Linked DNA regions of Saccharomyces cerevisiae S288C. The protein of the gene in region 1 binds, or shares a complex with, the protein of each later gene. Each region holds a gene or a part of one and is shown on either strand. Other genes may lie near its edges. The genes, in order: PRE3 and PRE4. A codon is read from its position in the direction of its gene.

Region 1 (3,543 bases):
ACGTGAACTCAGTTAGTTACGTTCATGTTCAAAGTTTTTAAGACAAAAACTCCCATTAGTGCGGTGAAAATATAGCAAGCAATAGACAGAGGCTTCTTGAAAAAAGAGCTTTTCGGGTAGTCGTACTTTATCAAGACTTGGCCATTGGCAACTTGACTAATCAAATTTCTGTAACTGAAAGTTAATTTAACGTGACCTTTATTTAGGTCAAAGTATGATTTCTGGGTTTCTATAGAAACATTTGTAAAAGGGACTGGAGAATCAATATCGAATATTTCGGCCCCTTCCGGAAGAAATACCGATAATTCAACATTATCATATACAGTGTCCGGTGGGCCGTTTAGAATTGGGATAGAAGCAACGAATTTCTCGTCTGAGCCAGAGGATACATGCAAGAAATCGGACAATTTATTAGTCCAACCGACAGTAAAATTGTAGTTCCAACCTCCAAAGATTGGGAATCTTGGTCTTATAAAGAAATGGTCACGTTCTGCATGCGACGTGGAAACAAGGCCAACCAAATCAGTGAAATAATGATCAGTAGCTCCCTCAGGCAGGAGCATGTCTAAGACAGTAACAAAGTGAGTTTGTCTCATATTCTGAGTTTGAATCTGTTTCATTAATTCTAATCTTGAAAATCCTTTAGACAGTTTTGCGGCTTTGTTTGTTAATTCATAATATTCCTCAAATTGTATTGTGGAAGCCCAATGAGAAAGCCAAATATCTCTTCTCAAATTCACTACCTGATTCAATGGGGCATTGTGGGAATAAACAATTGCTAAGGTTTCGTTTGAAGAAAATCTCGGAATATCTTCCCAAGGCCCAAACTCAAAAGAGTTTCCATTAGCTTTTCCCAGTAAACTCTCGTCATTTGGGGGGTGGTACTCCTCAAATGATGAGCTACCAATCAGCGTAAAAGAGGCCTTCTTGGTATCGTAAGCAGAAAGCGGCAATCTGTTCGTTTCCCACAATAGGTGTTGTTCTTCTGACATTCCAACGTGCTCAGGATAAGGAATACCTACGGTATTATAGAAGCTCTTAATCACTAAAGAAACTTCTTCCTGAGGGGAAATTGCATTTGGAAATTGAATGATCCCGTATCTAATTTCACTTTCACCATCGTCACCAGGTGCTGTAGTCGAATTGGCAAGTAATTGGCTATTTAAAAAAGTTGCCTCGTTGGTAAAATAGGCTGAAAAAAAGGAAACTTTACTGAAGATGCCACTCTCAAAGGCTGTGAAGTATTCAGTCGCAGGTTCGCTTGCTATGTTTTTGATAGTTATTTCGATTGTTTCTGAAATATAAGCGTTTGACACGTCTATTGTCCTCTTATAATCAACATTCTCCCAAGTCGCAGGTGGCTCGTATTGGGCAGCAGAAGACACGTTGAAAAAACATAGGAACAATCCCACAATCCAAGAGAACCAAACCTGCCTCATTTTTTCAGCACCAATATTTTGTAGTTTGCGTCTTGTTCCGAGCTAAAGAAGCAATCGGGTACTTGTCAAAGAAGTAGCTTGCTTAATAAAAAGCAAACATTAATTTGTTCTGCATACTTTGAACCTTTCAGAAAATAAAAAACATTACGCGCATACTTACCCTGCTCGCGAAGAAGAGTAACACTAACGCATTCTATGGGCAATTGAAGACAGTATTCAGTACAAGACATAGTCCGTTTCCTTGAGTCAATTCCTATAGCATTATGAACTAGCCGCCTTTAAGAGTGCCAAGCTCTTCAACACCGATCATTTTTGATGATTTGGCGTTTTTGTTATATTGATAGATTTCTTTTGAATTTTGTCATTTTCACTTTTCCACTCGCAACGGAATCCGGTGGCAAAAAAGGGAAAAGCATTGAAATGCAATCTTTAACAGTATTTTAAACAAGTTGCGAGACGGTGTACAATTACGATAAGAATTGCTACTTCAAAGTACACACAGAAAGTTAACATGAATGGAATTCAAGTGGACATCAATCGTTTGAAAAAGGGCGAAGTCAGTTTAGGTACCTCAATGTATGTATATAAGAATTTTTCCTCCCACTTTATTGTTTCTAAAAGTTCAATGAAGTAAAGTCTCAATTGGCCTTATTACTAACTAATAGGTATCTTATAATCACCTAATAAAATAGTATGGCCGTGACATTTAAGGATGGTGTGATACTAGGTGCTGATTCACGTACCACCACTGGTGCGTACATAGCTAACCGTGTGACAGATAAATTAACGAGAGTACATGACAAAATTTGGTGTTGTAGGTCCGGTTCTGCAGCAGACACGCAGGCGATTGCCGACATTGTTCAGTACCATTTGGAATTATATACTTCTCAATATGGTACCCCCTCCACAGAGACTGCTGCCTCGGTGTTCAAAGAATTATGTTACGAAAATAAAGATAACCTTACTGCTGGTATAATTGTGGCTGGTTATGATGACAAAAACAAAGGGGAAGTATATACTATTCCATTGGGTGGCTCCGTCCATAAGCTGCCTTATGCGATAGCAGGATCTGGCTCTACTTTCATATATGGGTATTGTGATAAAAACTTTAGAGAAAATATGTCAAAGGAAGAAACCGTAGATTTCATAAAGCATTCGCTATCGCAAGCCATTAAATGGGACGGATCTTCCGGTGGTGTTATAAGAATGGTTGTTTTGACAGCTGCTGGTGTGGAACGTTTGATATTCTACCCTGATGAATATGAACAACTATAATAGACCCCAAAAGAACAAATTCTGAGTGATTACTTCTCTTTATATTTGTTAACAAATGCCTCTGGATCTACACTGATATAACATATAATAGTCTATAACCTCTTTCTCTTTTTCTCTTCGCTTTACGCTTTTTTCTCTAACTGTTAGAACGACAAAGTATCTCAGAAGGGAATTTCGTAAGCAAGATATTTTACGACTAATCATTTTTTTGTTGTATAAAAACGTATGTGAGATTGATTCACTAATTCTTCGGAGTCCTGGAAGGCTTACCTTATCTATGCATTCGTACAGTTGTGTGCAATGTTAAAAATGGTGACTGTATCTACGTATCTATAAAAAAAGGTTAACTACCGGAAAATCATTTCTTCTCGTAAAGTGTATATTTAGGTTCGGAAATCATAAACATTGTTTTTTTGTGTTTTTTATTTTTAAATAAAAAGAATAAATATTTTATATTAAAAAATAAATTTTAAAGTAAATTAATTATTTAACACGTGATTAAGTTACTCTAATATAATCCTATTTAATAATTAGTAGAGTTGTTGAGAACGAGTATAATATTATTTTTTTTTTATTTTTTTGTAGGTTCTTTGGCCATCCTAAATAGAATAAGCATCCACAACAACTAAACTGGTATTTTGTTATACACAACGCGTCTTGGTTAGGCATCTGTTTTGTTTTAGCTATTGTTCATCGCGTTTTTTTTTTTCTTATCTCTTTTACCGAGGGGCGAAAATAGCGATAGATCGAGAATATAAATAAATAAAATATTGTTGTGTTGTGTAGTTCTAAAGAAAAATTTTACAGTGAAAAGGTAACACCGGGGAGT
Region 2 (3,152 bases), on another chromosome or scaffold:
AGTCGCACGAAGAAAGAATCCAGGAAATTATTGAGCGTAATAAAGAGATCGAAGCTACTGAGGAGAGGAAGCGCCGTGCTAAGGAAATTGCTAGAAAAGAACATGAAAGGAAACACGGGTTTATGTCTTCAAATGGCGATTACGACGGCGCCAATAGGTTCATGGGAAGTAAAGATCCTAACGTTACAAACGCCATCAACAGTTACTACTCCCATGCTTCTCCTGCAGCACAACAGTCTTATCTACAAAGTTCCCATGCCGCTGCTGCTGAGGTGGCCCCAGTGGCCTCCCCAATGGCTACGTCTCAGCGTGCGGGACATTCTGCTACTGGCGGTATGAAATTGGGTGGTGGTGCCGGAAGAAGAGCGGGTGCCGCACCACGGCCAAGTGCAATTTCTTCAGCCTCTTCTGGCACTCCACCTCCTCCGGAGGAGGATGTCCCAGAGAACAATGGTATTTTGATCTCTATCAAGGAGGTAATCAATGCAGAATTCTCCAGAGATGGTACCATTCACTCTTCTGAATTGAAAGGTGTTTTAGAACTAAGAATTAATGACCATGACTTATCTCACTCGAACCTAAAACTAGCTGATTCTATTGACGTTCGCGATAAATCCTTCCAGTTTAAGACCCATCCAAACATAGATAAACAATCGTTCCTATCCACTAAACTTATCTCCCTGCGTGATAAATCTAAGGCTTTCCCAGCCAACGACCAAAGCCTGGGTGTTCTAAGATGGCGTAAAGTCGCTCCCGCAGAAGATGACTCATTAATTCCATTAACTCTAACTACATGGGTTTCCCCCTCCGAATCACAACAGGGCTTTGATGTCATTATTGAGTATGAGAGCGTCCTGGAAACAGAACTCGCTGATGTGATCTTCACCATTCCAGTTTTCCCTCAGGAGCCAGTAGACATAAATACAGAGTCTTCTACATGCTCTGACGCTGAAGTTGTCAACATGGACCAAGAAATGGGAACCTCCATTAAGATTAGCAAAATTGCTGCCAACGATGCAGGTGCGCTAGCATTCACTATCGAAGCTCCATATGAAGATGCATTGTACCCAATGACCGTTTCCTTCCAAGAGTCCACGAGGGATAAATTAGCTAAGAGTTTCACCGGTATGGCCATACAATCTGTTGTCATGGCCAATGACCACGATCAAGAGCTCCCTTACGACGTCATCACCTCTTTGAAATCAGATGAATATCTTGTCCAATAGTACGTTACATTCACATATAAAATACTTAAGTTATATACACAAACTAAATAAATAAAAATCGAGGTATCTTTTCTTTCGTCCTTCTATATATATAGTTTAACTTACTCTTATTCTTTATTATTTTTCCTTTTAGGGTTACCCGTCAATCCTTTTTATTAAAGATGTTCCAGCTTCTTGGTTTAGAATTTGCCACCTTAAATACGTACCCACATAGTAAAGTACAGCTAAGTTAAGAAAGGGGATAAGCAGCAGGAATCCTTCATCTTCCGCCGAAAACAACATAAAAACCCACACGAATGAATCACGATCCTTTCAGTTGGGGCAGGCCCGCAGACTCTACTTATGGTGCTTACAATACACAAATTGCGAACGCAGGCGCCTCTCCCATGGTTAATACACAGCAACCAATAGTAACAGGTACTTCCGTCATATCAATGAAATATGATAATGGGGTTATCATTGCAGCAGATAATTTAGGTTCATATGGCTCTCTTCTAAGATTCAATGGCGTGGAGAGGCTTATTCCCGTGGGTGATAACACCGTTGTGGGCATTTCAGGTGATATTTCTGATATGCAACACATTGAGAGATTATTGAAAGATCTAGTCACTGAAAATGCGTATGACAATCCTCTAGCGGATGCTGAAGAAGCGCTCGAACCCAGCTATATTTTTGAATATCTAGCTACCGTCATGTACCAGCGAAGATCAAAGATGAATCCACTTTGGAATGCCATCATTGTTGCTGGTGTACAGTCTAATGGTGATCAATTCCTAAGATACGTAAATCTTCTAGGTGTTACGTATTCGTCTCCCACCTTGGCCACAGGTTTTGGGGCACACATGGCAAACCCACTGTTAAGGAAAGTTGTAGATCGAGAATCTGATATTCCAAAGACCACTGTACAGGTTGCTGAAGAGGCGATCGTAAATGCAATGAGAGTTCTTTATTATAGAGATGCCCGTTCTTCTAGAAACTTCTCACTGGCCATAATTGATAAGAACACAGGTTTAACTTTCAAGAAAAACTTGCAAGTTGAAAACATGAAATGGGACTTCGCCAAGGATATTAAAGGCTACGGTACTCAAAAAATTTAGAAGAGTTTTATCCCACCTTCATTAAATACTCATTTTATTTTTATTTTTCAATTCATAATATCATCACTCTTCTCTCTTCCTAAGTAACTACGTTTTTACATAGATATAATGATATGTGTAAAGAAACTATAAAATAACAAAAAAAAATCATAATATTACTGCATCTATCCTTCACCATGCACCACCGCTATTTATGCTCTCCAATTCATGCTCGTTAATAGGTTTGTACCGAAACCTAGCAGGTAGCTCGAAAATGGAAGCAAGCTCATCTTTTTGCAATGGCCTGTTAACGAATACAGAGGTCTTTGACGAGCTGAGACCAGCATTAGCGCTATGCTTTATTGGCACTACACGGAATGGTTTATAATTTTCCATGAATTTACTCACTGGAATACACTCTTTGCTGCCAGGTAACATTCCGTTGGTAGCGCAAGGATGAACAACGACCTCAGTTGCATGCTTCACTAAGGGATGCCTTGTACCGACGAATTTTATCATCGGCTCATATGCACTCTTTGCTAATCTTATAGGTGTAGCAATCATTTCCCTGTCTTCTTGTACTTTTATCTTACTCTTATTATCGGTTAAAAACCTGGGGAAGTACTCCTTAATGGTTTGCTTTAAAGAATTCAATGCGGCTAGAAATGAAAAAGACTTTTAAGATCACTGAAACACTGCAATCTGGCTAAAATATTAGTCTTCACTATCGTCTTTTTCTCCTTTGTTGATGCGAAAGATGAATTTACATATTCGAGTCCCTTAGTCATATTATTGTACTTTTAATGCAATCTTGAGGGGAGCCAATCAACGAGTGGTTTTACTTGCACGT

What was found.
Region 2: the proteins of PRE3 (region 1) and PRE4 are in contact, whole or in part, in a crystal structure (PDB 4X6Z), measured with the Saccharomyces cerevisiae proteins. Residues at the interface, in NP_012533.1 of Saccharomyces cerevisiae: Arg38 (codon at 2,178), Thr40 (codon at 2,184), Gly42 (codon at 2,190), Ala43 (codon at 2,193), Tyr44 (codon at 2,196), Ile45 (codon at 2,199), Ala46 (codon at 2,202), Asn47 (codon at 2,205), Arg48 (codon at 2,208), Val49 (codon at 2,211), Asp51 (codon at 2,217), Leu53 (codon at 2,223), Thr54 (codon at 2,226), Arg55 (codon at 2,229), Trp61 (codon at 2,247), Arg64 (codon at 2,256), Gln72 (codon at 2,280), Ala75 (codon at 2,289), Asp76 (codon at 2,292), Phe152 (codon at 2,520), Ile182 (codon at 2,610), Lys183 (codon at 2,613), Trp184 (codon at 2,616), Asp185 (codon at 2,619), Gly186 (codon at 2,622), Ser187 (codon at 2,625), Gly190 (codon at 2,634), Val191 (codon at 2,637), Arg193 (codon at 2,643), Arg204 (codon at 2,676); in NP_116708.1 of Saccharomyces cerevisiae: Ser65 (codon at 1,715), Leu66 (codon at 1,718), Leu67 (codon at 1,721), Arg68 (codon at 1,724), Phe179 (codon at 2,057), Met183 (codon at 2,069), Tyr218 (codon at 2,174), Tyr219 (codon at 2,177), Arg220 (codon at 2,180), Asp221 (codon at 2,183), Ala222 (codon at 2,186), Arg223 (codon at 2,189), Arg226 (codon at 2,198), Glu248 (codon at 2,264), Met250 (codon at 2,270), Lys251 (codon at 2,273), Trp252 (codon at 2,276), Asp253 (codon at 2,279), Phe254 (codon at 2,282), Ala255 (codon at 2,285), Lys256 (codon at 2,288), Ile258 (codon at 2,294), Lys259 (codon at 2,297), Gly260 (codon at 2,300), Tyr261 (codon at 2,303), Gln264 (codon at 2,312), Ile266 (codon at 2,318).

The regions. Positions count from the first base shown.
Region 1 is NC_001142.9:433,213-436,755, forward strand, and holds PRE3 (proteasome core particle subunit beta 1), read left to right. Parts: upstream 1-1,950; coding exon 1,951-2,015; intron 2,016-2,131; coding exon 2,132-2,714; downstream 2,715-3,543. Other genes in the region: dolichyl-diphosphooligosaccharide--protein glycotransferase subunit OST1, read right to left, coding at 9-1,439. UniProt on the Saccharomyces cerevisiae protein: The proteasome degrades poly-ubiquitinated proteins in the cytoplasm and in the nucleus. It is essential for the regulated turnover of proteins and for the removal of misfolded proteins.
Region 2 is NC_001138.5:248,237-251,388, reverse strand, and holds PRE4 (proteasome core particle subunit beta 7), read left to right. Parts: upstream 1-1,522; coding exon 1,523-2,323; downstream 2,324-3,152. Other genes in the region: RET2 (coatomer subunit delta), read left to right, coding at 1-1,226; alpha-ketoglutarate dehydrogenase subunit KGD4, read right to left, coding at 2,495-2,866. UniProt on the Saccharomyces cerevisiae protein: Non-catalytic component of the proteasome which degrades poly-ubiquitinated proteins in the cytoplasm and in the nucleus. It is essential for the regulated turnover of proteins and for the removal of misfolded proteins.